Macaca fascicularis: one gene and its partner. The protein of the gene in region 2 interacts with the protein of the main gene of each other region in a pairwise test. Links are inferred from orthologs where the notes say so. Each region holds a gene or a part of one and is shown on either strand. Other genes may lie near its edges. The genes, in order: USH1G and USH1C.

Evidence for each region.
Region 1: the proteins of USH1C (region 2) and USH1G interact in binary tests that used the Homo sapiens proteins (3 or more experiments, as listed by UniProt). The link is inferred for Macaca fascicularis from reciprocal best matches to the Homo sapiens genes USH1C and USH1G.

The regions. Positions count from the first base shown.
Region 1 is NC_088390.1:81,271,542-81,287,607, forward strand, and holds USH1G (pre-mRNA splicing regulator USH1G), read right to left. Parts: upstream 9,670-16,066; 5' UTR 9,488-9,669; coding exon 9,324-9,487; intron 7,086-9,323; coding exon 5,868-7,085; coding exon of another isoform or gene 5,864-5,867; intron 4,496-5,863; coding exon 4,492-4,495; 3' UTR 2,525-4,491; downstream 1-2,524. Other genes in the region: proton channel OTOP2, read left to right, coding at 11,060-11,372, 11,983-12,119, 13,636-13,694, 14,077-14,210. UniProt on the Homo sapiens protein: Plays a role in pre-mRNA splicing by regulating the release and transfer of U4/U6.U5 tri-small nuclear ribonucleoprotein (tri-snRNP) complexes from their assembly site in Cajal bodies to nuclear speckles, thereby contributing to the assembly of the pre-catalytic spliceosome on target pre-mRNAs.
Region 2 is NC_088388.1:48,236,720-48,252,782, reverse strand, and holds the start of USH1C (harmonin), read right to left. Parts: upstream 13,710-16,063; 5' UTR 13,582-13,709; coding exon 13,546-13,581; intron 13,292-13,545; exon of another isoform or gene 13,143-13,291; intron 2,632-13,142; coding exon 2,564-2,631; intron 866-2,563; coding exon 722-865; intron 591-721; coding exon 452-590; intron 1-451. UniProt on the Homo sapiens protein: Anchoring/scaffolding protein that is a part of the functional network formed by USH1C, USH1G, CDH23 and MYO7A that mediates mechanotransduction in cochlear hair cells. Required for normal development and maintenance of cochlear hair cell bundles.

The DNA of each region.
Region 1 (16,066 bases), on a different chromosome or scaffold from region 2:
AGTGTCACCATGTTGGTCAGGCTAGTCTTGAACCTCCTGACCTCAAGTGATCCACCTGCCTCGGCCTCCCAAAGTGCTGGGATTATAGGCATGAGCCACCACGCCTGGTCTTTTTTTTTTTTGAGACAGGGTTTCATTCTGTTGCCCAGATTGGAGTACAATGGTGCAATCATAGCTCACTGCAGCCTTGACCTCCCCAGCTCAAGCAATCCTCCCACCTCAGCCTCTTGAGTAGCTGGGACCACAGGCGCACACCACCAACCAGGTTAATTTTTCAATGTTTTGTAGAGATAGGGTCTTGCCATGTTGCCCAGGCTGGTCTGGAACTTCTGGGTTCAAACAATCCACTCACCTCTACCTCCCAAAGTGCTAAAATGTCCCTGTTCTTCTTTTTATTTTTCTTTTCTTTTTTTTTTTTTTTTTTTTTTTGAGACGGAGTCTCACTGTTGCCCAGGCTGGAGTGCAGTGGCGCAATCTCGGCTCACTGCAAGCTCCGCCTCCCGGGTTCACGCCATTCTCCTGCCTCAGCCTCCCAAGTAGCTGGGACTACAGGCGCCCGCCACCACAGCAGGCTAATTTTTTGTATTTTTAGTAGAGACAGGGTTTCACCATGTTAACCAGGATGGTCTCCATCTCCTCACCTCGTGAATGTCCCTATTCTTGATGTAAACTTTTAGGGAAACGAGTCACAAAAGTTGAGTCCCTACCATATAATGTTCTTCTCTTCGCTTGTGTTGAACATCCCCACAGGCTCCCTGGAGCAGCTCCTGCTCCTGGCACCGCAGGCTTCCGCCCTCGAGCCACACTGACCCACAGAGCCCCTCATCCCGCTGCCTCCAGTTCATCTCTGCCAGGATGCTGAAGTGCCCGTCGGCTCTCTGTCTTGTCATTCCTCACGCCTGTGTCTTCTTCTGGACCATCCCGGCAAGGACCAGTGAGTCTTTCATGAGGTGGGTGCAGTGACCAGGATGGCCAGCAGAGGCCGCACGGAGATGCGCCCCCAGGGCATGGCAGGTGGAATCCTGTTGTGTTGGTGCACTTGGCAGCCTGAGTGTGAGGACAGCATGGCGGCAGCCAGAGACTCGCATTTTGGGTCTGACTCTTCCCCTCTGTGGGCCTCAGTTTTTTCTTTTTTTTTTTTTTTTTTGACACGGAGTCTCGCTCTGTCGCCCAGGCTGGAGTGCAGTGGCCGGATCTCAGCTCACTGCAAGCTCCGCCTCCCGGGTTCACGCCATTCTCCTGCCTCAGCCTCCCGAGTAGCTGGGACTACAGGCGCCCGCCACCTCGCCCGGCTAGTTTTTTTTGTATTTTTTAGTAGAGACGGGGTTTCACCGTGTTAGCCAGGATGGTCTCGATCTCCTGACCTCGTGATCCGCCCGTCTCGGCCTCCCAAAGTGCTGGGATTACAGGCTTGAGCCACCGCGCCCGGCCTTTTTTTTTTTTTTTTTTTTTTTTTTTTTTTGAGACGGAGTCTCGCTCTGTCGCCCAGGCTGGAGTGCAGTGGCCGGATCTCAGCTCACTGCAAGCTCCGCCTCCCGGGTTCACGCCATTCTCCTGCCTCAGCCTCCCGAGTAGCTGGGACTACAGGCGCCCGCCACCGCGCCCGGCTAAGTTTTTTTTGTATTTTTAGTAGAGACGGGGTTTCACCGTGTTAGCCAGGATGGTCTCGATCTCCTGACCTCGTGATCCACCCGTCTCGGCCTCCCAAAGTGCTGGGATTACAGGCTTGAGCCACCGCGCCCGGCCGGGCCTCAGTTTTTTCATCTGTAAAGTGGAGAGAGGTGGCTTGGAACCCCTGGATGGTTGCTAGGCAACTTTGCTGCATCAACATCCTGGGGGCCTTTCTGATTGATGCTGGGGGAAGGGAACTGTCTTGAACTCCCTTTGGCAGAAAAAATTCGCCCAGCAGCCTTAGGCAATGGAGCAAGATTACTCCAGGGCCCTTCCTCAGACGTGACTGAGAAAACAGAGCCCACTAGGCACCAGCTTACAGAGGGGACTCACCCCTGGGAGAAAGCAGGGCTTCAAATCAGGCTGCCCATGAGCTGCCTGTGGTGATGTGGGACATGGAGACCCCTCTGGGCCTCCGGAGGGCCCTCATGGAGACCCCTCTGGAGGCCCAGAGCCCAGGTGACGGGCGGCAGCCTCCTGGAGTACGTTTCTGCCCATCTCTGGAAAAGCCCAGGCAGGCCTTGGTGGGAAGAGAGAACACGCACCCTCCTGCCCTCCACAGCTGCAGACCCTGGCAACAAGCCTGGAGGCTCAGTCATCCTCCTTGCTCGGGGGGACTCTCCTGCCCTAGTTCTCAGCCCTGCCTCTCCACCAGCTCCTCATTCTGGACTGAGCTAGGAGAGCAGGGTAAAGGCCTAGGGATCTCTTCAAAGATGCATAGCATGGGGGCTCGAAGACACTCCAGAGAACAGGGCCCAGGACCCAGTCCTCACAAGCACAGAGAAGACCCCTCCCGCCCCACCCCCACCCCCCACTCTTCATACCCAAAGCATTAAAGGACAAGACACAGGCATGACACTGGTGGAGAACATTCTCTACAAAAGTGGTAATGAGCCTGCAGGAGGGATTCGGGCTACAGTGGTGGGCACACAGAGCCTGCTCCACCCCAGCACTGGCTAGAATCAGGAGGGGCTGCGGCAGTAAATGGACAAGGAATGGGAGAGAAGGGGCAGCACCTGGGGCTCTGGGAAAAACAAGTCGGCACTTGGGGGTGGCCCCAGGCTCAGGCCCAGAGAACAGGGAGAAGCACTGCGGTGGGCTCCAGATAGCAGTGGCAGGCAGCCAAGCCCTCAGTGTCCTGCAATAGGACAGGGACCATCTCCTCCATGCCCCCACTCTGGGCATGTATATGGGAATGGGAACCCCCGGACAGACCAAAAAGAGGCCTTTGAGGGCTCTCTTTCCCCTACCCCAGCCAAGGGGGCCCCGGGAGGAGCTGGGGACTGTGGCCATGCTCCCAGCAGGAGCTGCTTCCCAAGCTGAGGTCAGGGATGGGGGGCCATGGCTGAGGAAGGAGGAGAGCACCTCTGCATGGGGTGCGAAGCGGCACACACATGTCAGCGGGCTCCTGAGGGACTCTCCCATATCTGTGACCTCGGTCTGGCTGGAGAGCTCTGGGGGCACATGTCTGAGGACACATGCTCTGACCACCCTCTGAGCTGGCCTTTCCCCTGGTCTCACCATCACAGGGCTGGGACACAGGCGAGCTCTCCCTTAGCCCCGATCCAGCAGCCCAGCCCCTCTTTGGTAAAGAGGGAAACTTACCAAACAACACCCAAGGTGAGCGCGCACACACGCACGCATGCACACACACACGCATAAACACACACACATGTGCACGCATGCACACACATGCATAAACACACACAAACGCGCACACATGCACACACATGCATAAACACAAACACGTGCGCACACATGCACGCACACACACATGCATGTGCGTGCACACGTACGCAAGAACACACACACAAGCACACACACACCACACACGTACACACACATGCACGCACACACATGCATACACGCACACACACAGCCCTGGTGACCTGGGGATAATCTGCAGTTTAGATTATCCACTTTCTCCAGTGTCCATATCGCAGGACTTACCCAACCCAGGCCCAACACCCAGCCACACCCTGTTCTGCCTGTCCCAGGCCTGGGAGACTGAGGAGGTTGGCAGACACCTTTCTCTGGCCCAGCGCATGCCTGCCAGGCCTGGGGGCTATAACACTGCAGCCTGTTGGTCTAGCACCTTGCATCTAGTGCCCTGGCCCTCTGGGGTCCCTGGCGGGGCCAGGCTGCACAATGAAAAAGCGGGAGGCTGGAGGAAGACAGGCCAGGCTCCATCCCTGGATGAGCTGGGAAGGGCGTCAGTACCCCCAGCCTGGCTCTCCAGTTCCGGGCCTTGGCCACTGGCTGAAGGAGGGGATGCTGGCTGTGCTTGGAATGGGTGCAGACTGAAAGTTGGGGCATTTGGCTGAAGAGTCTGGCTGAGGAACTTCCCCTCTGGGGTGGACTGGAAGAGGGGAGGCAGCCCAAACTCTTCCCTTCACAAAAATGCAGGAAGTGAGCAAGTCTCCGGCCTGAGCACAAGAGAACAAGACCATCAGGGGAGGGGCCCGGGACAGGCACGCCCTCCGGCATTCACCTCCCACACTCCCATCCAGTTCCATGCCCCTGCCCTCCCTCTGGGGTAAGCCTCCCCCAAGTCTACATGTCCTTTAGGGCTGCTCAGAATGGGTGGCTCAGGGCCTTTGTGACCCCTCAGAACTGGAGGGGACATTCTCTTGCCCCTCTGGTGCCTCCAGGCTACACCCTCTGCTTCAAGGTGTGGACAGCCTTTCAAAGGAGTCGACCCACGTGGTCCTTGCTCCTGGGGAAGGGGGCTGCAGGACTGGCGACTGTGAGGACCTTGAGGCCCCACCACAGGTTGTGGCAACTTGCAATTCATTTTGGTCTGGGGAGAGGAGCCCCCCGTTATCTGTGGAGGAAGAGACAGAAAGAAACAGATTTCACGTGAGGTCCTTTAGAGGCATCCTTTTCACCCAGGACAGCCATCTGGACAACTTAGCCTTCCCATCTCTCAGCAGGTTGATGGTCAGGGATGGAGGATGCCAGCCTACGGGTGACCTCCCCATCCCCAAAACTCTAAACCAGCCTGCCTCCCCACACCCTCCCTGCCCCAGCCACTCAGGATAAAGGCCATAGATACCTAAGAGGAAATGAGGACAGCATTTGTTGGGCTTGTGGGATGCTGCAGGGGAGGGGCCAGGGCAGGGGCTGGCCACAGCATGACCATTGTGGCAGCGGCCTTGGCCAACTATGACGGGCTTTGGAACATGAACTCTGCCTCCAGAGCATTTGGGAGCGTTTGCCCACGTTCCTGGTTGCAGAGTTCAGGAATAGCAGGTAAAACATCTGCCTAAAGCCGGGCGCGGTGGCTCACGCCTGTAATCCCAGCACTTTGGGAGGCCGAAGTGGACAGATCACCTGAGGTCAGAAGTTCGAGATAAGCCTGGCCAACATGGCAAAACCACATCTCTACTAAAAATACAAAAATTAGCTGGGCATGGTAGTGCACCCCTGTAATCCCAGCTACTCAGGAGGCTGAGGCAGGAGAATTTCGTGAACCCGGGAGGTGGAGGTTGCAGTGAACTGAGATTGTGCCACTGCACTCCAGCCTGGGCAACAAGAGGGAAACTGTCTTAAAAAAAAAAAAAAAAATCTGCCTGAGGTCTTGGGCAACTGAGAGGCCCTGCTGACTGCAAGCCCTGCATCCCATGGGAGCCACCTTGACCCCAGGCTCTAAAGCCATGCAGACCAGGGATCAAGCCCAGCTCCATGTTGAGCAGCAGCAGGACCTTGAGGTGAGCTATTCTAACTGTCTGAGCCTCCACTTGCTCATCCGCTATAAAATGGGAACGATATAATCCACCAATACAGTCCGGGCACACGGGCTTTTAGAGGGATTAAGCAAGAGAACTTGTTCAAGGGCACAACCCAGCACCTGGGAGGTGGGAGGGCTCAAAAACACCCCAACTGTGATTCCCGTGACTGTTGAAACTCGGTGACACTAAGACGACCATTTCCCCACATGTTGATGTCCCCAAAATCGAGGTGCACTTTACACTAGCTGTGATAAGAATGCCTTGGGTCATCATTAAATTGGCAACTTCTTTTTCTGAGCTGGTGGTAAATAAAATAAGGGGGCCTTTTATCATCGATGGCCCCATTTCGATTTTATGAAATACAGTAGCCCCCACCCCCTACTCCTGAATAGGCAGATCTGTACTCCCTCCCCAGGGGCCTTCCAACTCCTGTTCCTCCATCCCCCTGCCAGGCTGGACACTCACAGCTCTGTGTCCTCCAGGGCCGGCGGGCGCTCCATCGCCTGCCGCCGCCTCCTCACGGCCCCCAAGATCTTCTTTCGGGGCCCCAGGGGGACGCTGATGCTGCGGAGGTCGAGGTCAGAACATAGCATCAGAGCCTCGAGGTCAATCTTCTCCTGCCGCAGGAGGGCGGCAAAGTCCTCCATGTGCAGAGAGGCCAGAAAGGTCTCCAGCGGGCCGGTCTCGGGCTCCAGGTCCTCGTCCAAGCCTAAGTCCAGCTCGTCCCAGGGCAGCTCCTCCCCACAGCTGCGGTCCTGCAGGCTGTTGGCACTGCCCAGGCTGTCATCGTCCAGGCTAGGGGAGCTCTGCAGCCGACCCCGAGGCGCTCCCATCCCGTCCAGCCCCCCATCCTCGCGGCCCAGTCCGTGCAGCCCACTGCTCAAGTAATTTCTGCGGAACACCATGGTGCCCAGGCCGGGGCGGGTAAAGAGGGAGTCGTGGCCTGAGTCGGTGCTGACCTCCGAGTGGGCAGGCTCGGCTGCCAGCGTGGCACGGGAGACGCTGTCCTCGTCCGAGAGGAACATGTCCCGGAGCGGGGCTCGGCCCCACTCCTTGGGATTGGCGTAGGTGCCCTGGCGCACGAACATCACGTCGTTGCCCAGCTGCAGGCCCGAGAGCGAGCGGGCGCTCTTGCGCCCATCCTCGGAGACTTTGAAAGTGCCTTCGCCGCCCTGCTTGCGCCGCTCCAGCTTCTTCTGCATCTTGGTCTTGCCCCTGGCCGTGCCGTGCAGCGTGGCCTGCGAGTACGGCAGGTGGCTGCCCAGCGCCAGGTGCTGCAGCCGGCGGCTCAGGGTGCTGGACGTGAGGCTGGAGAAACTGAGGGTGTCGGAGCGCTCGGCCAGCTCGCGCCGGTAGCGCCGCTCCATGCGTTCGTGGTGCTTGCGCTGCAGCTTGGCGCACTCGCGGATGCGCCGCTCCGCCTCGCGGAAGGCCTTGTCCTTCAGCTTACCCACTAGCTTGGGGTTGAGGCTGCTCTGCTTGGCCGCGATGGAGTCCAGGTAGCGCACGCATTCCATGTGGCCCTTCATGGCAGCCATGTCCAGCGGCGTGTGGTAGTCGTTGTCTAGGCACCAGATGTTGGCCCCGAAGGACACCAGGAAGGACAGGCAGTGCAAGTGGCCATTGGAAGCTGCCAGATGCAGGGGTGTGTTGCCCCAGATGTCACACTTGTCCGGGTCACCCCTGCAGGGAAAGCATCCAGGAGGGACTAGTGACGAGTCCTGGCTGGGGATGGAGGTGGAGGGAGTGGAGGGGGGAAGGGAGCTCCCCCACTGTCACAGCAACCCCCAAAGGGACCGTGGGCCTGAGACCTCTTCGACTCCAGGAGACCTGCAGGCCTGAGCCACCCAACAGGTGAGCCCAGGGGTGAGCCCAGGGGAAAATGGCCCCAGGTGTGCAGGGGGTGGGGTGTCAGAGAAGGCGGGACCGGGGCGGGACCTTCCCCAAGCTAACTGAGGACTGGGAATCTCAGGGGATAAATATTTGATGCCCTGAGAGAAGGGAGTAAATTATTCATGAGGCCCAGCACAGAGCTGGCCAGAGCACTGGGGGGCCAGGGCCGCGTCTGGGTCTCTAGGCAGGCATGGTGGTGAGTGTGGCTGCGTGTGCCGAGTGACCGTAAAAGAGAACAGACCAGAGGGTGATGTGTACCAGGCCCTAGCCCCGGGTTAGCATGTGTGAGGTGTGGGCTTGTGTGTCAGCAGGCAGGGCCCTGTCTGCAGGGAGCAGGGCCAGCCCTGGCAAGCCCCAGTGTGAGAGGAAGTGTCGGGCCTTGGCCTGGGCCAGGAGGGGAGTGCAGGGGCAGCCAGGACTGGAGGGGAGGAGGAGGGAAATCAGCTGCCTGCGCTCCGAAGCCCTCCCTTCCCCAGGCTGCCCCCTCTTTGTTATCCCTTCAAGGCTGTCTCACTTGAGCCTGTCCAGGACCCCTGACAGCCCCCACAAGCACCCCTCACACCAGACTGTGTCCCTCAGGGCAAGCTCCCAAGACTCCTCCGGAGCTCTCCCTCCCCTGGGGGCCCAGCACAGCACCCCTGCCCTGCACTAATGAGGCCACGAGGCCAACCCCCAGGGCTGGGGGAAGAATCACTCCCTTGTCTCAACAGCTCCTCACACACTCCCTCCTGGGCCTCCCCTCCTGGCCACCAAGTCCTACAGGCCAGTGTGGGAAGGGCCTGCCAGCACCCGACCCACACCCCATCAAACACCAATCCTGGTCTCTGGAGGAGTTGGGGCTTGGCATACCCAAGGGGAGACCTCTTCCCCTTCTCCCTTCCTCCCATGAGCCTCTCTGAAGGGATGGCAGGGGACAGTGTCACTGTGTGCTCTCCTGGGATGAGGAGGGGCCAGTCAGCCTTGGCCTCCCGGGACATGGCTCAGCTGCCCAGGCTTCGAGGCTGCTCCCACCTGATGCTGGGCCCAAGGAGCAGCCCAAGGAGGGGGCAAGAGGGAGGGGTCTCCAGCACCCACTACATGATCAGGCCATAGGCCAGTGCCTGGGCCCCAGCCCTCTCTCCCATGACCTGAGACTTCATATCAACCCTCCTGGGGTGTCCTGTCCACCCCTCATCCTGTCCAGGCCGCCCTGGTGTTCAGACCAACCTGACTCCTCTTTATAAAGCCATTGGGGCTGAGGGAGTTGGTCACAGTCATTTGACTTTAGCCCCAAGGAACCCATGTCAGTGGCTCTAGTCCTGGAGGTGGCTTAACTGCCACCTCCAGGCCCCTTCCCTGGCGCTGACACCTGCACTCTATGCCCACCCCTCGCCCTAGGACAACTCCAAAGGGAGGGGGAGGGGAGAGAGGCCCCTTCAGGGTGGCCACATCACAGTCTCCCCATTGCTTAGCTATGCCCGGCTGTGGGGGAGGGACTTGGAGAGAGTTAATGGGGTGGCTGAATCAGTGACATTTGGCGCTCTGGACAGTGTCCATAAATCCCGGGGCAAGCGCTGTGTGACACCAGCCTGCCAGGGAAGGTGGGTGCTGGCTGGGAAAGCCCTTTGGATCCAAGGCTGCGGAGTGGGCAGTGAAGACCCCACCCTTTCTAGCCCCACTGCTGGCCCCTCCAGACTTCCCAGCCTTCTCTCCGAGTCTCATTAAGCCCCTCACTCTTACTTTCAGGGGGACCCCAGCCAGGGGATCTCTCCCACCTTCCCCTCACTCTGCAGCAACCCCCCATAATCAGGAACCCCCAAATCCCGGTTTCTCCCCCTCCTAGCCCCAGATCGAGGTCACAAGTGTTACAAGTGTCAGATGCCTCTGCTTGGGTCCCCCTCCACGTGTGTCTCTCCCACAAACGCCAGGGTCTAAGGGTCCACCTGTCTGCAGGGGAAGGAGGCAGCTCAGAGGAGGGGTGGAGGATGGATCCCAGGGAGTCTGGGGTGGTCTCAGGGGTCTCAAGGGCGCTGGGTGGGGAGTACTCACCCGCGGCTCACAATGAGGCGCAGCGACTCCAGGTGGCCGTGGTAGGCAGCCCAGAGAGTTGGGGTCATGCCATCCTCATCGGGGGCATTCAGCTCCTTCCGGGTGGCCTCCTTGAGGAGCTCCAGGTAGCCATCCCGGGCTGCCCGGTGGTACTGGTCGTTCATGGCGCCCGAAGTGGACGGAGTGGGCGGGGGACACGGAGAAAGGCCCCCCGCAGGGGAGGGCGGCGGGGTTAGGGCTGAGGCATGAGGTTGGGGGAGGGGGCCGGGCAGGGGCCGGGACCGCCAGCCCCCGCTGCCGCAGACGGAGGGTGCGGAGCGCCAGAGCCGCGACTACCGGGACATCTGAGCCGCTCACCCGGCGGCGGAGGGGGGTTGCGGGGGGAGCCGAAATCTCCCTCTGTCCAGGGAGCCGCCCCCGGTCTTCCCCTGGGTCCTAAACACCCTGCATGCACCTCAACGCACGAGGGTGACCCACGCAAGGCCCTGCCCTCCTCTTCAAAAGTGCCCATCCCGGGGCCCCGCCCTGTAACGCCCAGTCCGGGGACAGTCAGGGGTCTGTCCTCACTAGAGCCTGGGGCGCTGTGGCTTCCTATTTCTCCACCTGTCAGTGGAACGAGCCGAGAGCTGGGGAGGGGTGCCGGAGGGCGGGGTGGGTGAGCCGTCCTGAGCCCCAGGACAGTGGACCTAAGAAGGGGCACCAGCACCGACCGCAGTATGGTCAGCGAGTGGGACAGGCCAGGCCGCCGCCGCCCGCACGGAGTCCCTCGACCGCGCTCCAGCAGAGGGCGCTAGAGGACTAGCAGCGGCTCCGTGCGCCGCGTGGAACTTCGCACCCAAGCCCTGCACTTCGCAGCATCCAGCAGAGCGCGGGCCGGCGGGGGCGCGGGCAGGGCGGTGGGATAAAGGAAAAAAGAGCTTGGATCACTGCGAGGACTGCGGGGGAGAGGGGGGCTGGGGTTCCCACCCCGAGCAGGAGCAGAGGAGCACAGGATTCAGGGTGCGTCGCGGCTGGAGGGCGTCAGGGTGCCCGCGGGCTTTTGGGACGTCTCTTGAGCTTAGCTCTCGGGGCTCTGGGCGCCTGGAATGCTGCACGCCAGGGCGCGGTGGGCACCGGGGGCGGGGTGCCCTCTGGGTGCCTCAGTGCGGGGCCGCGCCCGAGCCTGGCCGCACCGGGGTGACGGAGTGGGGTCGCCTCTCAAAGGGTAAATATGAATCTTGCCTTATCTGGCTCCTGCGGGCTCTTCCCTAAATTCACCTTGGAGAAAGATGGATCATGTGAGCGGGACTGAGAGCTTTATGGAGCCGAACTCCCGCAGCTGTAAATCACCCTGTCCGCCTGGGTATAAAGCGCCTGTCCATCCCGGCGTGGGAGAGAGGAGACGTTCACCGTCCCCTGACCCCCAGCTCAGCGCCGGCTCCAGGCCCAGCCAGGTGGGTGCCCCGGGCCAAAGGGCAGTCGGACTTGGGGAGTGGGGACCTTGGAGGGGTCCAACCGGGTGCTGCCGCTTCTCCTTTCTTTCTTCCTGTCCAGCGAGAGGGGCAGGTTCCGTGTTTTCTCTTCCCCTTTCCCAGCGCTTCCTCCAGCACCTGAAGCCCCCACCCTGCGGGTCAGGAACTCCCTAGTCCCCAAATCTAGGGATGAGATGGGGGAAAGAGAGCTGTCGGGGTTGACCTGGAGTTTTATCCGCTCCTCCCCGACAGTAATCCCTCTAGTCTTCTCCAGTCGCCCCCGCCATGTCCGAGGAGCTGGCCCCGGGCCCCAAGGAGAGCCCCCCGGCGCCGCGGGCGGGCCCCAGGGAGGTGTGGAAGAAGGGCGGCCGCCTGCTGTCCGTGCTGCTGGCCGCGAACGTGCTGCTCCTCGCCTGCACGCTCATCAGCGGCGGAGCCTTCAACAAGGTGGCCGTGTACGACACCGACGTGTTCGCGCTGCTCACTACGATGATGCTGCTGGCAATGCTCTGGATCCTCTTCTACCTCCTCCGAACCGTGCGCTGCCCCTGCGCGGTACCCTACCGGGACGCGCACGCTGGCCCCATCTGGCTCCGAGGTGCCAGGGGAGGTGGGGGCGAGGTGGGGTGGGCACAACAGGGAGCTGCAGGCTAGGGCTCTCACAGGAGTTGCAGAGCCCAGGGTGACATATAAGGGTGAGAGTTTGCCTAGAGAGGACCAGGAGGACCGGAGGGTGAGGTGGGCTGCAGTTAAGGATAAAGAGGAAGGGAAGGGGTCCTGGGGAAGGGATAAATAGAGGGATGGGGTGGGACCTCTTTGTCCCCTGGTCTGAAGATTGGAGAAGGCTGGCTAAGGGAGGGCCTTTGATGGAGAGCAGGAACCAGAAGACAGCAGTCACTGAAAGAGCCCAGCCAGGGCCCTTTGCGGTATCCACACAGCCCCAAAGAGACGGGGGCTTGGTAGCAGGTCCATCCATCCACCCACTCAGTCATACACTCACCCTTCCATCCACCCATTCACCTTTCAGTCTGTCTATACACCTATCCACCTATCCTCCCACCCTCCCCACTGATCCATCCAACAGTGCGCTCACTCACTTGTCCACCCACCCATCTAGCTTCCCATCCTCAGGGCCTGTCCTCAGCTGGGCAGACCTTCTCTCCTGCCTCTCTGATCTACCACCACCACCCACTCGCCCTGGTTCTCAGGTGGACTGGTGCTGTTTGGTATCTGCACCCTCATCATGGATATCTTCAAGACCGGCTACTACTCCAGTTTCTTTGAGTGCCAGTCAGCCATAAAGATCCTGCACCCTGTCATCCAGGCTGTGTTTGTCATCATCCAGGTAAGTGTCGCTGTGTGGAAGAAAGGAGCTAACACTTGGCCATTGGAAAGGACCCAACAAGGGGTCGGAGACCTGAGCTCCACCCGCCTCGTATCCTGAGCTATTAAGTAAACTGGGGACAGGGCTGTAGAGAGCATCACAGGAGTCCATCAATGCGGAAACACCTCATAATGAAGTAATATCCCAACGTGAGCTCCCACTTGGAGCTCTGCAATGTTATTTCAACTTAAGCAGTGCCAGTAATTAACACCTAGGAGGTGTGAGCTGTGACAGCCAGCCCTGTCTCCTAGAACCTGGCCTGCCCTCCTTGGGTACCCGTAGGGGGCTTCTGTATCAGTCCAGGCTCCTGCCAGCTTGGTCCCTCTGTTCTGTATTTGTTTGGAAAGTAGGGTAGCCTGTAACTGGGATTTCTCAAACATTCATTTTGTGGTTGTTGTTGCATAAACAATACTTTGAAAGATCTTCTGATTGAGCTGAGACGGGACTGGGCTTAGATGGGATCAGAACAGCCCCCAGCCCTCTATCATGACCAAAATGGCGTCATGGATGATGTCCTCCCCAGAAACATCACCCCTGCTGCCCAGGTTTTCACAGTTCAGCACACGTGTGGTTGTGGCACTTATGTAGCTTTAGTCTTTCATATTTTATGGGTTTGAAGAATACTCAGATAAAATGAAAATATAGATATCCCCACATCACCAAATGCCATAGCAGGGATTCACAGGCAGCCAGACGGTAGCAAGGCCTGGTATGGCGACAGAGGAAGAGGATGAGCAGGGGATGTTGTCAAAAGAAGGTGAGAAGTCCACAGAGGCTCCTTCCACCCTGAGCAAGACCTAACCTGAGGCTGGCCTTGCTCCCAGAAAAAAAAAAAAAAAAACTAGGTAGTCAGAAATCTACTTGACCCCCACCTCCACACAAAATAAACCCCACCACGGGCAGGGTTTTACATGTGATGTTTTGCAAACCTTTAAAGAATGGAGAACCACTATTTTATACAAACTGTGTCAGAATAGAAAGAGACAGTGTTCCCCACCTCATTTTTTTTCTTTTTCCTTTTTTTTTTTTTTTTTTTTTTTTTTTTGAGATGGAGTCTCACTCTGTCGCCCAGGCTGGAGTGCAGTGGCACAATCTTGGCTCACTGCAAACTCCGCCTCCCGGGTTCAAGCGATTCTCCTGCCTCAGCCTCCCGAGTAGCTGGGATTACAGGTGCATACCACCACACCCAGATAATTTTTTTGGTTTTTTTAGTAGAGATGGGGTTTTACCATGTTGGCCAGGCTGGTCTCAAGCTCCTGACCTCCAATGATCCACCTGCCTCGGCCTCCCAAAGTGCTGGGATTACAGGTGTGAGCCACCATACCCAGCCCCCGCCTCATTTTGTGAAGCTAAAATGAACCTGATGACTCGGTGTAAGGTTCCTCAGGTGGAGAGAACAAGATGGCATGGGCATGGGTGCACTGGAGTTTTGTCCATCTGTGGAGTAAATGACTCTCACCAATGTCTCTCAATACAGACCTACTTCCTCTGGGTCTCCGCTAAAGACTGCGTTCACGTCCATCTGAATCTGACCCGGTGAGAGCTGCAGCTCCATGCCTGTGCCCAGTATGCTGGTGTTCACCTTGCAGGAGAGATTTGGGCTTTCCACCCCGGAGCAGGGCCTCTCTTTATGTCCCCTGGGTGGGGTTGCAGCCAAGGCCTCCCTGCTTTGTCAGGCTGACTTCCACTACTTTGTGGGGCCCTTTCTCCCAGGGGAGGGAGTGGTGGTGGCCCCCGGGGAAATCTCCTAGCCCTGTCTTGGGTGGCATACCAGCCAGGCTGTGTTCCTAGCAAAATCAGCTTCCCTGTTCACACAGGCCTGGCTGCTTTCTCATTTCTCAACACCAGCTTTCAGTATTGCTCCCCAACCTGCCAAAGGGTCACAGGCTTCTTTGTCCCTGCCCCCAACCCCAAACAGGTGTGGTCTCATGTTCACACTCACCACCAACCTGGCCATCTGGATGGCGGCTGTGGTGGATGAATCTGTGCACCAATCCCACTCCTACAGCAGTTCTCACAGCAACGCCAGCCACGCCCATCTCGCCTCTGACCGTGAGTTTCCCCTTAATGCTGGCCCTGTGGCTACCAGGCCTTGGGCTGGGTGCTTTATGAGTTTGTAACGTCAGTCTCCCATGAGGGCATGGAGGCAAAGGAGAGAGCCAAGGACCTCCTCCTGCTGCAGGATCTACCTCTGCAGGATAGGTGTAGGTGACCCCAGAAGGGAAGTATCGGGGCACCCTTTTATCCTTGAAGCTGCAGCCCAGGCCCCCCGTCCAGTCTCCATCCCACCAGGAAGGACCCAGGACCAGGAGCAGTGGTTCATGCTTGTATTCTCAGCACTTTGGGAAGCCAAGGCAGGTGAATTGCTTGAGCTCAGGAGTTCGAGACCAGCCTAGGCAAGATGATGAAACCCCATCTCTACAAAAAATTAGCTGGGTGTGGTGGTGCATGCCTGGGGTCCCAGCTACTGTGGGAGGCTGAGGTGGGAGGATAGCTTGAGCCTGGGAGGTCGAGACTGCAGTGAGCTGTGATTGCGCCACTGCACTCCAACCTCGGTGACAGAGTGAGACCCTGTTTCAAAAAAAAAAAAAAAAAGACAGAGAGAGACCAGACCCAGAATCCAGGAAGAAAGGGCAAGAGTGATCAAGCTGGGAAAGGCAGAAGGGAGGCAGAGCGGTTCTTTGGTGAAGCATGGATCAGATGGGAGAGCCCGGGGAGGAGGAGAAGGTGAAAAATAATCATGGCCCTGTGGCTACCAGGCCTTGGGCTGGGTGCTTTGTGAGTTAATGTTAATGGTGACAATTTACTGAGGTCTGTATGTCAGGCACTGTGCTGAGTGTTTTAAACACCGCATTTAACCATCAAGACTTCCCTGTGGGCCGGGCGTGGTGGCTCAAGCCTGTAATCCCAGCACTTTGGGAGGCCGAGACGGGCGGATCACGAGGTCAGGAGATCGAGACCATCCTGGCTAACACGGTGAAACCCCGTCTCTACTAAAAAATACAAAAAACTAGCCGGGCGTGGTGGCGGACGCCTGTAGTCCCAGCTACTTGGGAGACTGAGGCAGGAGAATGGCGTGAACCCGGGAGGCGGAGCTTGCAGTGAGCTGAGATCCGGCCATTGCACTCCAGCCTGGGCGGCAGAGCGAGACTCCGTCTCAAAAAAAAAAAAAAAAAAAAAAAAAGACTTCCCTGTGAAATGGGTACTCTCCCCATTCCCATGCATAGGTGCAGAAACTAGGGCAGAGAGAGCTTAAGTAACTCACCCAAGGTCTAGCACTAGCGTTCATATCCATCTTTGTTTTTAACCAATATGCTAAACTAGGGAGGAACGGGATCCAGTCTCCAGTCTTCATTCTCTGGACTTCTCTAGGGTCCCCCAATAGCCAGGACCAGACAAGATAACTAAGACATGCATGCTCCTAGCATGGGAAGGTCCAGCAACAAAAAGCATGGCCCCCACCCTCAGGGAGACCCCAGCCCAGCGAGCCTTACAAAGGACCACCCTGAACAAAGAGGACTCCTGAGGGTGCAAAACCAAACCAGGGAGATGATGGACTTCACGTGGGGGCCTGCAGACTGGAGAGAGAGGCCTGCCGGAGAAGTGCCTGTCCCAGGGTCAGAAGTCAGGCAGTTTGCATCCACTCTGCATTTACAAGTCACGTCACCACGTTGAGCTTCAGTTTCTTCATCTGCAAAACCAGCAGGGCTAGTTCTTAGGATGAAAAGAGACATTTGCCAAAGCCCAGAGTATCCTACAAATACATTCTGGAGTCAAGTCAAGACTCCCTTCCATGTGGTACAAACAAAAGTAATGGGAGGTCATGGTGGAGACTTGGGCACAGCAGCTGGCTTTCTGGGCTGATTCAGATGGTGGGGAGAGCCGTGAGGAAGCTTGAACTTTAGAGG
Region 2 (16,063 bases):
TCACACAGCCTAATGAAGAGAAAAGCCAGAATTGAACCCGGCTAGCCCTGCTTCAGAGTCTGTGCTCTTTGGCATCACACTGCACCAGGCTTTCTTTCCCCCTGCTGGTAAAAGGCAACATGTCCAAAACTTCATGTGCCGGTGTCACCATGTTCCTCTCTTGGGGAATAGGGGAGGTGGGGGGAAGTGCAGCGGCAGCAGTTGGAAGGAGGCAGCAGCTGCAAGGAGGCAGCAGCCAGGTTTCCAGCTTCACTCAAGAAAACAGGCAATTGCCTGCGGCCTGATTTCTATGAGTCTAAGAACACCCGTCAGGATGCGCCAGCGTCTTCCTCACCCAAAGGCTCGGAAAAGTGGGTGACCACATTGTGCCACACAGCCTAGTGGATGAGTGAGGGGGAGGCAGGAGGTCTGAGGCCCTCGCTTCCCCTCCCTCTGGACTCTGCTTGCTCACCTGGAGCCCGACACTGTCTGCCTGACCGCCTTTGATGAGGTGGGAGATGAAGAGCCCACAGCCAAACTCCAGGCCACCACGCACGCTCAAGCCGAGGCCTTCGGGGTGCAGACGGTCCAGACGCACCTCCTTCAGCTTCCTGCCACACAGGAGAGGTCGGTGATGGTGCAGCCTGGCTGCCAGCACTGCCCCGCCCACTAGCAAGGAACTCTGTCCATCCCAGGGTGACCTCTCCACCCCCTGCCTCCAGCCTGGTGGCTTCCACTGCACCTGGAGCGCCGGGGGGTCAGCTGATCATATTCCACCTGGTGCTTCAGTGGGATCAGGGGCCGAATGGCATCAAACAGAGGCAGGCGGCTGGGTTCATTGATGACCAGCTTCAGGTCTCCCACGAGCACGGCCACGTCCATGGTCCTGTGGAGATGCCGGGAATGCCTGGAGCCTCACCCCTGGCCATGACCTCAGGGACCCAGGGATTCCAAGAGGAAGCCATTTCAGCCACTGGGCCCAGGCTTAGGAATGGAGGAGACCACTCCTGAAAAGCCCAGAGCCCTTCACACTGGGCCAGTGCCTGAGAAGGCTTTGTTCTCTCATAAAAATGCCCCCAGGAAACCAGCCCGCTAGGGATTGTTGACCCATTTTGCAGATGAAATGAAGCCAGGATTTCAAACTATCTCTGATGTTGGGATCTTTCCAGAGGGGAAAGCTCTATGTGAGATGCTAAGGACCCCTCACATACTCATCATCTCCACTTGTATCTACTGCTAAGCTCTATCAGTTTCACCTCACCACAGTTCACGTGCCTCCTCCCTCACGCTGTTCAGACCTTCGACTCCAGCTGCCTGCCCACATACTCACTGTCATTTCATCTTTTCTCAGTGTAAGGCACTCCCTGGCTTAAAACCCTTTGATGGCTCCTTACTGCCCAGAGGACAAAGTCCACTCTTTTCAGCACGCTCAGGGCCCTCCATGACCTGTCCCGTGGAGCTTCTCCAGCCTTGTGGCTATTTACGATCTCTGTGTCCTCCCAAGTCCTACTCCCCCAGGTTACTTATCCCCATTCACACCCTTGCTTTCATGCCTCCACACTTCGGCTAATGCTGATCCCTCATTCTGGAATGCCCTTCTCTGATATTCCACCTACCCAAATCTTTTTCTTTTATTATTTTTTTGAGACAGGGTCTTGCTGTCTTGCCCAGGCTGGAGTGCAGTGATGCGATCATGGCTCACTGCAGCCTTGACCTCCTGGGTTCAGGTGATCTTCCCACCTCAGCCTCCTAAGTAGCTGGGACTACAGGCACGCACCACCATACCCAGCTAATTTTTTGTATTTTTTTGTAGAGATGGGATTTTACCATGTTGCCCAGGCTGGTCTCTAATTCCTGGGCTCAAGTAATCCTCCTGCCTCAGCTTCCCAAAGTTCTGGGATTACAAGCATGAGCCACCGTGCCTGGCCCCAAATCTTTCTTATCCTTCAAAGCCTTGCTCAAGCCTTCCTGGTCCTTTCTCTTCCCTCTCAGTTGGAAAGGAAAACTCCTTTCTTCACATTTCTGCTTTTACCTCTACTTAGCAGTTATTTGATATAACTTACATTAGAGTTCTTTGCATTTGTAGTGTATATTCATCTCCCCTCACCAGACCACAAGTTACTCAAGGAAAGAAAGAGGATCTAATTCATTTCCAGATTTTGCATAGTGCCCAGCAGTGGCAGGAGCTTATAAAGTATACAAAATGAATCAAAAAGCAAGTGGGTGATCAGAGACATCTGATGCAAGGGCTGTGACCAGTTGGCATTTCTTGTTCTGTTCCAACAATCACTCTCTATTGAATCTATCTGGCTACTAGACAGCCTACTCCATCAGACTGTAAGCAACCTGAGAACAGAGACCAATCTGTCTTGCTCACAAGTATACCCCAGCCCCTAGTACAAAGCCAAGTACAAAGTACTTGTATAAATAGTTGCTGAAATGAGTGAATGCTATGTCCATTTGATTTCCAGGAGCAGTCAGCATCCACCCTCTGAGCTCCTCTGTCTCAGAACAACCCATCCCAGGACTCCCTGAAGACAGAGGAACCCGAGTGGTCCACAGGAGCTGGACCCAGCACACTTACTGGTGGTACATTCGCAGCACATCATAGAGATAGTCCTTCTCTGCATCATTTTCAATCAGAAAATCCACCTGAAAAATCCAACAGGAGAATCACAGTTCCAGGCTCAGCACCCTCCATAGCAGACCCCAGGGAGGAGAGGTCACCCCCAGCGGCCTCCCCAGCATCTTTTCAGGGCTGGAGTTGTGAGGAGAGGAGAGAAGCCACAGGCCAGACTGCCCCTCTGACCCCAATGCATCAGACCTATGCAGACCACCCCAACGTGGCCACAGGAGTACTGCTGCCCCTCCAGATGTGGCCAGGCACCCCTCGTCCCCAGGTGGGGCAATATGTGCACACACGGGGATGCACACACATATGTACATATGTGAATCCCCATGTGACACGACACGCTGCCATGGCAATGCTGCTGCTCACCCCCATGGCTGTGTCATCCGTGGCCAGAAGAAGCCCACTGTCTTACCTGATGGTGGCTGTAGTGCCGGATAAATGCTTTCAGGAAGGATTTGGGCCACTCGCTCAGATAGCACATGCCACCCGCCAGAAGCCCCTTACCACCGAATTCTTCTGTAACATCAATGCCAGGAGACCTTCACTCTGTCTTGTCCTGACCTTAGTTGGGTTGCCCTGAGTTCTGTCCACTAGTCAGTTTCCTGGCCACTCCTTCCCCCTTCCCAGGCCCCTGCACAAGCCCTGCAGGGGGAGTCAGGTTACATCATTTCAACTTTGTTGACGTCAATGGCTGGGACTCTAAGGTCAGGTTCAGGAGTTGTGTCATTAGTACTTCCATCCCAGTAGGAGGCCCTGAATTCCACTCCCTGAGTTACCTCAGTGTGAATCTCTACCCTGTATCTTTGGGTCTCTCTTCAGCCCCAGAATGGGTAACAGAGCAAGATGGAAGCTTGAGGGGTCACTGGGTCCCTCTCTCCTCCAGCCTCCGGGCCCAGGGCCTCAGCCCTTCATAGAGAGGCTGCTGCTGGAAGTTGCATGCTCTCCACTGACTGGTCCTCAGAAGAGGGCCAGAGCAGCTTTACCTCTTTCTGTGGGTATCCCAAGGGTTCTGGAAGACCAGGGCAGTCTGTCTGTCCCACCACAGAGGGGACATGCTGGGCCTAGCCCTTGGGATTTCTGGCCTGAACAGGCGCTACAGAATGCAAATTTCTGGCCTGGATCTGGCAGTACTTCCTTCCCTATAAAATCAGGCTGAGCATTTCATTAAAGGTGAGAATAACTTAGGAGGCTTGACTCACAGCTTGGGTTTCAGTTGCTACAGAAGTTCAGCCCACCTGCTCCAAAAGGGCACCCTTGCTTTCTCCCTACCTCAGTGCAAGGAGTTCCCAGCTAGGGCTAGGCGCGGTGGCTCACGCCTATAATCCCAGCACTTTGGAAGGCCGAAGTGGGTGGATCACCTGAGGTCAAGAGTTTGAGACCAGCCTGGCTAACATGGTGAAACCCTGTCTCTATTAAAATACAAAAATTAGCTGGGCGTGGTGGTGTGCCCCTGTAATCCCAGCTACTTGGGAGGCCAAGGCAGGAGAATCACTTGAACTCGGGAGGCAGAGATTGCAGTGAGCCAAGATAGTGCCACTGCACTCCAGCCTGGGTGACAGAGCGAAACTCTGTCTCAAAAAAAAAAAAAAAAAAAAAAAAAAATGGAGCTACCAGCTAGATGACAGGAGATGGAAGCATCTGCTTGAGTGGGTGGTACTAAATCTTAGGGTGGGAGGCTGGCCTCTTGCATGCACCACCTCTGAAAGCCCATCTCTCTACATAGCATGGATTCTCTCACCCACTCTGCTTAGGCCTGTGGGGTGGGGGTGGCTCCCTGAGACAGGCCTGGGCTGCCCACACTGGGCTGTGAAGGAGGAGTCTGAACACTCCTAGCAGCAGGGGCCAGAAATATCTTTATAAATTAAATCATGTCGCTTGCTTGTTCAATAGTTTCTTGTACCCCAAACCAAACCTAAATCCAAACTCCTTACCTTGACTTATCAAAGCCAAATCTCCTTTCCTACCAGTATTCCTGGCTACAAAGGCCTCCTTTCAGTTCTTTCCACAAGCCGAACGCTCTCCAGCCTCAGGGTCTTGGCGTGTGCTGTTCCCTCTGCCTGGATTGCTTCCCCCACTTCCCTGCCTGGCTGCCTCCTTTCCAGAGAGGTCTTCCCTGCTCACCTACCTGGACAGAACCCACTCCTGCACCCTGGAGATGTTTCAATTCCGTCAAAGATCGATGACGATTTGTAATTTAAGGTTTATTTTCTCTGTGAATTGTTTCCTCTGTCTCCTTTGCTGGACAGAAAAATCCCATGAGGAGAAAGATGAGGTCTATTTTGTTATAAATTCCTCGTGCCTACCACATAGTAAGCACTCAATAAAGAAGTATTGAATGAATTTCTCTGCCTGCCTCCTGGTGTGCTCACATGGTTCAGGTGGGAGGGAGGTAACCATGGGAACAGCAGAAGAAGGGAAACGATGTTGCCCCCATAACCCCCATGCGGTGGCACCAGGAACTTTTCATGGGCTTTATTCCATTTGTTTATCACATTGGGGCCAATATTCTCACATCATGTTGCAGTTGAGGGAACTGAGGATCAGAGACGTTAAGTCAACTCACCCAGTGTCCCACAGCTAATAAGCAGAGCCGGGATGGGAACCCAAGTCTGACTCCAAAGCCCATGTTCTTTCTGCTATGCCACGACCATTGATTGTGACTCAGGCCTGGTAGGGGAAAATAACTCCCAAGGTCCCTTTAGGCCAACATTTCACACCCTTTGCTTTCAAGAACTCCTTTCCTATCTCTAAGCCCCATCTCTCTCCTCTGCACTGTTAAGAAAATACCTTTGGGTTGGTCTATAATGAGTGAGAAAATGAGGCATCTTTTGAAGGACTCTTTGAACCCAAGTGTTCTACTTTCTAAGGGGAGCATAAAAATCCCATCTGCTTTGGCTGGAGTGAGGACACCTTGACCAAAGACTTCTAGCGCAATTCTAACCCCGGGTAGTGACACAAGAAAGAAGATGGGAGAGGGAATCTCTTACTGACTGAGGCCTTAGGACTGAAGTTCTCTCTTATCCCTCTGCAGAAATGTATCCTACTGTAGCATTAGATTTCAGTAGTGAGGAACTGTCCTCCTTAGACCATGTTTATTGTGCATTAGGTGGAAAATTGAGGTAGAAGAGTAAGGTAACTTGCAATGTTAGGGTCTAGGGTTCTGTTTTTCTCCCTTCCCTGGGGCAAGTACAGATCATTTGGAGACGGTCTTGGTGGAAAGGAGCCTGTGTCTGCAGGTCCCAGGCTCCTGGCCCTTGTCAGCAGCCCTCCAGCACTGACCACTGCTCCCAGAGGTCTCATCCTACCTGTCTCCCGAGACAGCTGCAGAGCTCAGCTCTTCAGCCTCATGTCTACCCACTGTCACTGGTTAGGTCAGTCAAACCCTGTCCTCAGTTCTGCCCTTGCTCACTTCTCCAGGGTCACCTCCACCACATCCCAAGTGGGACTCAGCTGCAGTGGAACAGATCCTTCCCCTGATACACTGAAATCTCCTTGTCCTCACTCAGAACATTCCATCTACCACCATGTCTGACTTGTCCATTTGAACAATTCTCTATAGACCATAATAGCTAACAGGGAAAATAGATCTGGTTTATGCAGAATACTCTTTACATATGAATCTAAGTGATAAATCATCAAAAACTTGAAAACTAGTTACACAGGAGATCCTGCAAAGGGAGGGATCATTCTCCACCCAGAAATATTTTAGAGAGACTCAGAGAGAACAGCACTGCTTTGTTCTCTGACCACACCTGAATGAAAACACACACTCGCACCTCACTCTTCAGGCAAAAGGCACCAAGAAAGAAAACTGAGAAAGATGGAAGTTTCTCTAAAGCCTGAACGTGCAGTAACAATACCACCATTACTTAAATTCCTTTTTCTTTGTAATCTTCCCTGTGGTCCAAATCAAATTACTTTTCCAATATTAAAAAATTATATAGTGTCCTCTCTTCTGGAATGCTGCCAGCACCAACCCGGGGGTCAGCTTTGGGGAGCCCCTGCTCTAGGGTGCTTTGTACCATTCTCCCAGTACCCTGCGCTCAGGTACATACAAAGCGCCAGGCACGCAGTAGGTCAGTCTCCCACACTCCTTTCTCCCTTCCTTCCAAACATGTTCTTCATTTCCCTGTGGAACCCAGAACCATGTCATGCACACAGGCGCACGGTGCCCAGTGGCGTCTGTTGATGAAATGTGAACTCTATTTGCTCTAGTCTAGAGCCTTTTTTCTGACCTGTTGGCCCAGGCCTGGGTCACCACCTTTCCATTGGTCCTCAGCACATATATTCTGGGTCTGCCTCCCCTTAGTTCACTTCCAATTCATCACAAAAATGTATGTCCCAGCGATTCCATCTATCCACAATGGATGGCTTCCCTCCTCTCATGTGAACCCTGCCTTCATTTCAGATGAGGCCCAAGTCCCCTCTTCTAGAGTCCAGAGCTTCCTCACCTGCCTCCCAGCCTAAGGCTCTTCCTGTCTGGCTCACTTATCCCAGCCAGCCTCTCCCTACTGACTGTCCACTGCCTGAGGAACTTTACGTGTATTATCTTTAATCTCCTAACAACCCTCTGAGGTGAACATTATCATCCCCATTTTACAGATGAGGAAATAGAGGCTCAGAGAAGTGACAGAACTGAGACTCCAACCTACGCCTGCTGGCTCCAAAACCTCTGCTGTTTTTCAAACTACCACATGGTATCCATTTACCAAATATAACTCCTTTGTTTTGCACTTGTCCATTACACATTTATTGAACACCTACTATGGGAAAGACACCAGTCTTCTTTCTCCGACTAGATTTAGAAAGCCTTTCCTTTTCTCGGATCTCTCTTGATATTGAGCACAGAAGCCCTAAAGGAGCTCACCGTCTACAAATAGCTGTTGGGGATCTCTATTATCATCCCTGCTCCCCTGACCCCCGCCGCAGGCCCTGCCTAGATGAGCGTTCGAAGACTGATGTTCCTCTGGCACTGTGCTATCGGTCTGTATGGGAGGAGGGGACAGGGAGCTTCTCCACCCTCACAATCTTCAGGCCGCTTGTCTAGGATATTGGAGGCAAAAGCTCGGTTTGGCCATGTGGTGCCCTCCAGTCTCATCCCCCAGTATTCCCCCATATGGACTGACGCTTCAGGATAGCTGCAGAGGGGAACCATGGGACATTTAACTCAGGCAAATTCAACTTTAGGTATGCACCCAGCCAAACAGGGAGAAAGAGAGTCAGAACAAATTAAATAATGCATGTTGTTCCACTTGATGAAGTCTCCTTGGGCTGTAGTGGGGATTAAATGAGTGAGTAAATGTAAAGTATGTATAACAATGCCTGGGACATTTCAAGGTCTCCAAAATGTGTGCTAGATCTTTTCCTTTCATGCCTCCAGCCATCTCTATCTTGCCCTTTGTCCAGGGGGCTCTGTCTGGGCTCCCCTCCCCTCTGGTTTCCTGCTTTGTTCAGCCATCAGGAGGTACAAGCAGGAGATGAAAGGAATGGGGAGACAGGAACTGAGGCTCTTAGTCCCTGGGGGCTGGCTGCTGGGCCACAGTTAGGCAGGTTCCTCCGCCCAAGGCTGCAGCTCCTGTCTGGGCCTCTCTGGCAGTCCTGGTTCTCACCTGTTCTGGTAACCTTCCCTCTCCTGGCCCCTTCAGGGGTGCTGGCCTCCTGGATCTGGCCCCAGGGTGCAGCCTGTTGGGTCATTTAATCCTGCCCTTTTCTGCAGAAACTCTTCATAAAGATTTCTTGGCTTCCCCCTTGGACGAGCCACCTGCTCCCTGCTGCCACCCTGGTTAACCATTAACAGTGGTGGTACTAGCAGTATTTCTTTTCTGTGGACTCCTCCTCTACCTTTAAGATTCACTTCAAATGTCACCTCTTCTTGGTCAAGTCTTTCTTTAGGCTCCCCCACAAAGCTGGCCACATCTTTCTCTGTGCACACAAACAACTCTTTGTCCCCATGGGACTCTCTAAGCTGTGCTGAACTTTCTCCTTTTACCCCCCTGTCTCCCCACAAGCCTGTGTGTGGCCCAGACGCAGGCCTGGGTTGTGAGTGTGGTGGTGGAGCCAAAGAACCCCTTCCCCAACTGGGTCTGCACCGCTCTGTGCCTTAGTTTCCTTATCTGTAAAATGGGTACAAACATCTCTTTTTAAAATGGGATTTAATCACTAAGAGAGACTAATAATTGTTTTTTAGTATTAATTTAATGAGTTAATAATTATGAAGAGTTTAGAACAGTGCCTGGCAAGTAGTAAGTCCTGTGTTTGTTACATAAAACTAAGTGAGAATAAGTGGATATAAATTCCATATCCACAGCAGTGGGTAGCTAGTGGCCCTCTGTAGATGTTAGTGGGATGAATAGATCCAGCCACACTTCTTCCCAGGCCTTCAGAGTGTGCATCCCAGTGGTACCAGGCTTTATTTAACTCTTGTTTTCTTATTATCCATCTTCTCTTCTCTTCTCTTCTCTTCTCTTCTCTTCTCTTCTCTTCTCTTTCTTTCTCTCTCTTTTCTTTTTCTTTCTTTCTTTCTTTTTCTTTTTTTTTGAGACCAGGTCTCACTCTGTCATCCAAGCTGGAGTGCAGTGGTGTGACCACAGCTCACTGCAATCTCAGCCTCTAGACTCAATTGATTCTCCTGCTTCAGCCCCTCAAGTAGCTGGGACTACAGGTGCACAACACCACACTTAGTCAATTTTTGTATTTTTTGTAGAGATGGGGTATGGCTATGTTACCCAGGCTGGTCTCAGACTCCTGGGTTCAAGTAATCCTCCCACCTCAGCCTCCCAAAATGCTGGGATTATAGGTGTGAGCCACTGCACCTGACTTCTTTTCTTTTTCTGGAACCACTTTATTGAGGTATGCCTGACATGTAAAATGCCGTATATATTTAGTGTATACAACCTGATGAGTTTGGGGATAGACGTGCACGTGTGAAAGCATCACCACCATCAAGGCCATAAACGGTGCCCTTCATCTTTTCAGAGGCTCTTGACCTGTCAGCTAGTTTGTAGTATTTTGCCCAGTGCCTGGCACAGCAATCATGCCCTGCTTCTTCTTGTTCTCCCTCACTTGCTGCTCCTTCTCCTCCAAAAGTTGTGGTGCCCCAGGCTCTGTCCTGGGTCTCCTCTCCATCTGCACCATCTCTCTAAGTGAACTCATCCGTCTCAGGGGTTTAAATACCACTTACACCCCCAAGGACCTACTGATGTTTATCTCCAGGCCAGACCTACAGCCTTCTCAGTCACCTCTAGTAGGTGTCTCAAACTTACAGCATTCAAAGTGGAATGTTAGGTTTCCACCACCTCCTGCTCTGTCTCCACCAACCTGCTGCTTCTCCCCCAAATGTGAATTCACCCTTGATGCCTCTCTTTCTACACTCACAGCCAGTCCATCAGCAAAAACATGTATCCTGAATCTGACCCATTCTCACCCGAGTCTGACCCCCTGCCTCTGGCCTGGGGTCCTGCAGGAGCCTCCTGACTGAGGTCCCCCTTCTACTCTTGGGCCCCTCAGTGGATTCTCTACAGGGCAGCCAGAAAATTCCTTTTAAATGTAAATCATTCACACTATAAGAAAATCCCAACCTAACCATGGCCTATCAGGCCCCTATCACCCCTCTGACCCATTTCTCACCATTATCTACAAATGATTCCTCTGGGACACGCTGTCCTACTTGCTGTTCCATACAGGCAGGCATCTGCTGGCCTCAGCGCCTTCGCACTTGCTGCTTCCACTTTGGGGAACGCTCTTCTACATGTATCCCCGTGGCTCCTCTCCTCACTTATTCCAGGTCTCTGCTCAGACGTCACCTCTTCAGAGAGGCCTTCCTGACTGCCCACCTTGTTACTTATTATCTCTCTCCCCATCTTAGTTTATTTCTTCATATAATTTATCACTACCTGGCATTACACGATACTTTTGTCGATTTCCTTTTAACTGTCTGTCCTCCCCACTAGAATGTACTGTCTAAGAGAGCAAGGGCATTATTTTGTTTTTCAGTGCTTAGAGTACTGCCTGGCATATATTGAGAACTCAGTCAATATTTATTGCCTATGTGAATGAATGAATGATTAGCAAATTCCTAGAGAGTGGTGGCTGTTTCTGATCTTCTTATTCATCCCACCAGGTCGTCCAATGCCTGGCCTCAGGCAGAGTACACAGCTATGCTCATAAATGTGTGACTGCTGAAGAGGCAATAAATACTTTTAAGCAAATGAGTAACCAAGTTCCTGCCATGTGCTGGTGCTGCGAACAGAGGAGCAGTCTCCTTTTGAAAGCTGCTTCTCTGAGGGAGAAAACAGTCTCTGACCAAGCCCTGCTCCCCCAAATCCTGGCCCAAGGTTGCTACTAGTTATTGGAAGGGCATGCAAGTGCTCCTGGCAACCTTGGGGTAACTTCACAAATCAAAAGGAGTTGATGCCTGGAGTCTGTTGGCTCACACTGGACACTCTGCAGGTATCAGTTGGAAAAAGTGTGGTTACTGTGGGCCCAGAGCAGCCAGTACTTTAATTGCTAGTCAGTCTTGTCTGTCTTGTGAGGTAAGTACCACAAACTCCATCTCACAGCTGAAGAAACTAAAACTCAGGGAGAGTGGGTGGCTTGGCCAAGGTCTTCCTGACAGTAACAGGGCTAAGATATGGTCCCAGTTCTGCTAACTCCAGATAATAAATAACAGTGGACATTTATTGAGGGCTCCCTAAGTGCTAGGGTCTGTTTAAGCTCCCCACACACATGTAGATCTCATTCAACATTCATGATAACCTTATTAGTTAAATATTGTTATCTCTTTTCACAAATAAGAGCACTGAGGCACAGAGAGATTAATTGAGTTGCTCAAGGTCACACAGCATTTTCCATTATAACACACTACCTTAAATATTACCTCCAACAACCAAGGATTTAGATCATAAACCATTTCCTCCAAAACACTAAGGAAGGTACCCCTACAAAGCAAACAACAGCAAGTTGTAAATTTCTCCCAGCATATCTGAGTGCCTCCTCTCTATCCCCTGCTGCTTCATCCTCTCTCCCAGTTCCTGGATGATCCCCAGCCTGGGAGGGGAAGGCTGTGGCTGTCTCCAAGGCAGCAAGGCACAAAGTCCAGCCTGGGCCTTGCCTAGCACATGGCGCCTGCCCTGCCAGCACACAGGGATATTAATAAGTAATGACTCTTGTGATGAGGAAGAGTAGGGCAGAGGAAACATGGAGGTCGGAGGCCCTTTGAAGCCTGTGGGACCTGGGGAAGAGGAACAGGGCAAACCCAGGGTCTGCATCAGACACCAGGGACCCAGGAGACGATTCTTGCAAAAGAGACAGAGTAGGTACCCCACAGAGTGAAGGCAGAAGACCTGACATTATTTCAGGCCAGGGGCAGGAAAGTGAAATTCAACCCTGAGTCTTGGGTTGGGGGACGGAAGGTTGAGCTCCTTCAAACTGGGTTGCCTGAAATCTACACTCACAAAATGTCCTTAGCGGCTGAAATTTCTTCCGACATGTCTCTTTGCAACAGGATGTACCGGTGAATGCTGTCTCAAGCTCCCCTTGGCATTCGCCAGCCCCTAAATTCCTACTGAACTTCCAGCTATCGCCCACCCGTGGGAGCAGGACCAGGGATGCCCAAGACCATGTTTTCAGGAGCCTTCTGCCAGTTTGAGCTGTCCCTTTGTGCCCCTACAAAAGCTTGGCCCCAACAGGCAGCACCCAGACATGGGTAATTACCAGAGTAGAGTCTGCTTCCCACCTACACCACCAGCAATTTGAGGGCACAGACTGGGTATCGCTGGGAGGATGCTCAAAACATGATTATTAAATGAATAATTGACCCTGGGCCCTTGGCCCCAAGCCCCTGCGGCCCCTACTCTGGCTGGCTCCTTGGGCTCCTATGGGCCTCTCTATGGGAAGGAAGGGGTTAAGGACCCTGACCTTCCCTACCTGAGCTCAGTCCTCAGACCAGGAAGAGGTTTGGCTTGGTCTAAAGACACTGCCCCCCTGGGGTCTTTGGGAGAGCCTTGGGTCACACAGTTGTTAATAGTTACCTGCCCCTCAGGCAGGGCCTGTGGGGAGATCCAGATTCCACCCCCACTCCCCCAACCCTCCGTGGCTTCATCCCCAGACTCAGAGGCATCCTAAGGCCTGGTGAAGAGGTCGGCTGGATATCTTTGATGACCCTCTCTGGTCTCAGGGCCTCAGCAGATTCTGCATAGCTTTGTGAATTGTTCTGGAAATGCCCTGTGTAAAATCCAGCCGCTTCCAGTGATGGTCCTTTCGGATCCCAGACCACCAGTGAGGCCCCTCACTGGGACACGCCAGGGTGGACCCGGCTCTGCCTGAAGGATCTGGCTGGCCAGAGCCCAGCTCCCACGCCCTCAATACCTCCTCCCTTCCTCCCCACCGCACCCGGGTCAGCACCAGCTCCTCAGCTACTTCTCAGGCCCTAAGAAACGCCCTTAGGCAGGCAGGGCTGAAATGCTTCTAACTCATGTTCTGAGGTCAAAAGGCAGAGAGAGAGACGTCTAGTTTCCCTTCTCCCAACACTCACCTCTCAGATACTGCCCCAGACTCTCTCCACAAGCCTCATCAACCCTGAGCTGGGGGCACTAGGAAGGAGAGGGACTTGCCCACAAAGGGGGCACCTCAGAGAAGCGGCCAAGACTGGAAGGAATTCAAACCCCCGAGACGTCCCCGCCCCTGGAAGGCAGAGGGAGAAAGCTTGGCAGAAGATCGATCTGTTTAGCAGTACCTGAGCCCGGAGTCCCCGTGTTCCCTCCCTCACTTTACTGGGGATCCCTGCTGCCAGTCAAACGACCTTCGGGTGTCCCAGCCCACCCAGAGCCATCAGGTGGGGCCGGAAAAGGGAGGGGCAGTGCCGGGGTGTCCACCCCTTACCCACCGCGCCCAGGACTCCGGAGTCCCAGAAGCCTGGGGCGCCCCACAGCTCTGACCTTATGCCGGAATTCTCGGGCCACTTTTCGGTCCATGGCTGGGCCAGGTCCAGCTGTGTCGTTGAACGACCGGTTCCTTCGGGTGCCCGGCTGCCAGGAGCTGGAAGGAACCGCGACCGCGACCCGGCCAGCCGCCCTCCGAGCTGGGGACGCGGCCTGAGCGCGGAGGGGCGGGGCCGGGCCGCTGTGGGGCGGGGCCGCTGCGAGGCTAGAGTTGCAGGTGCTCAATCGTCGCCTCCCCCTGAGGCCTGGGAGCAAATGGACCCAGTGTGCCTATGGGCCTGTGGTGGCAGTAGCTGGGCTTCAAGCTGGTATTTCTCTTGACGTGGTACCTGATCACATGCGTTTGAGGAAGAAGATCGTGGAGATGTAGGGAGGAGGTTTGGGAATTTTTGTGATGACTGGAATAGAGAGATCCGGAAACTATTCACACGGGTGGGCAGGGGGCGGGGCAATCTAGTCCATCTTCTCTGGATACTCCGGAGGGCTCATGGCCCTCCTGGACTGTCAGCCCTTGCTACGCCTTCACCTTCAACGTACCTTCTGTCCTAGCTTCCTCCTGCACTTTTCCACCAGGGAGAAATCAATCCTTGCTCTGTGAATTCCTTGGGGGCAGGGCCGGGTTTTACTGTGGGCCGCAGGGGTCTGAACCAGTGGGTATGGGAATGGCCCTCTCAAGTGATTTCCCCTCCCACCTTCCCTAACACCTCCACTCCCAACAAAACAAGACAAAACAAAACCCAAACCCAACACGCTCCCATATCCATCGAAGCCTGGCGGAGCCTGGCAGTGACATTTTGATCTATGGCTGACCTTCACCCAGGGCCCAGACCCTCTGGTTCATTTAATTCAATTTGGTCAACATTTGCTTAACTCCTAGGTCTGGTGCTGGGTGCAAAGACAAGGATGAACCAGGCCTGGAAAGGAATGAAAGGAAAGAGGGGCTAGGAGAGGGGTGATAAAAACGTGTAAATCAGGGGCTGTTAAGTATGGGGCTTGTGCCTGAACTTAACCCAGGGAGGCACCTGCGCCCTTTGCACCCTGTCAAGCGCAGGGGCAGGGAGATGGACAGCAGCTTACATCAGGTAACCACTTAAGATTGTAACTTTGGGGCACCTAAACACCCCTCTGCATCCCTTTCCCCAATAGCTGAAGTTTTACAAGCACACTATTTTTGTTTGGGCTAAATTATTGCCTAGTTTAAGATGTAAATCCCTCTTGAAGAAGAGCCTTAAAATATGATGTTTTCTCACCTTAGTATTAACTATTAAGTCAGTGATAAAAGGGAAAGACTTGTGGGATTTTTGAATGGTCCAGAAAAGGCCACACAAAATGCATTGCCCTCTGACTTACTTCATTGATTCTCTACATTGAAAAAGAATGTCATATGGCTGTTTATTTTGTATTTAGAATCCTGGCAGAGGTGAGTGAATGTTCTTACCCAGGAGAATGCTGTTCACCTGCCACCCCAATCCTTATTTTACATTGGTCATCACCCCCACAGACTCCCTCCACCTTAAAATGCCCCCTGCTTTGTTTTGAGAATAGCATTGAGACCTAGTTCTCCTTTCCATGAATTTTTTTTTTCAAGCTTCCTTGGAGACAATCAGCTTTTGCCTATTTCTTAACCAGTGTTCCTTAAGGCTGCATCCTTAGCTCTTTCCTCTTCATCTTCCTATCTGTGCCCCTAGCTTCCTCCTGTGTGAAGATAGCTATGTGTGCTTTCTTTACCACTATATGCCTAGAACAATGCATGACATGGAATCAATGCCAAACAAATTTGTTGAGTGAATGAATGAATGAATGAATGAATGAATGCATCTCAAATCTATGCCCTTGCCTAGGAGTCTACTGGGGCCAATACCACCACCACCACCACCAACATCATCATCCTATGTAAGACCTGGCATTTAGTTGGTGTTCCCTAAGTGCTGATGAAGTGAACGATGTACAGGTTCCCCAGGTGCTCAGTCCCATGTTTTCACCATTTTAAAATTCCTCCTGGGCAGACAGTGGACCTTGTTCACACATATAAAGTTGTTTTGTCAAAGTTTGGCCTTGATGGTGGCAACAACATAGGAGTATGAAACACATTTATTATTCAGTCGTCATTTCCTGAGCTAGGGCAGGAGATTGTGCTGGGCATTCAGAGGACTAAGGCATGATTCATTCCTTAGAGGTGCTCAAAACTGGTCATAGGATAGGGATGTGGAGACCCAGGTGGAAGTTGAGGTGGGGCGTGGTGGGACATAGGCTAGGACTCCACAGGCTCTGCTATTGACCACTGACCCCTGAGTGGCATGTCCCAGGGCCGCAGCATGGCCCTCTGTAAAAGGAGAGGATAGGGTCAGACTCATACCCGCATCTTGGGTCTCTGGTATTGGGCTTCCAGGACCCAGGTAAGGGGAGCTGGAGTTTGCACAGGCTACCTCTTTGCTCCCCTAGAGAATTTAGGGCTGAATAATTTGAATCCAACCTCCCCTGGGGAGGCGTAGCCACAGGCCAAGAAGAGCAGAGG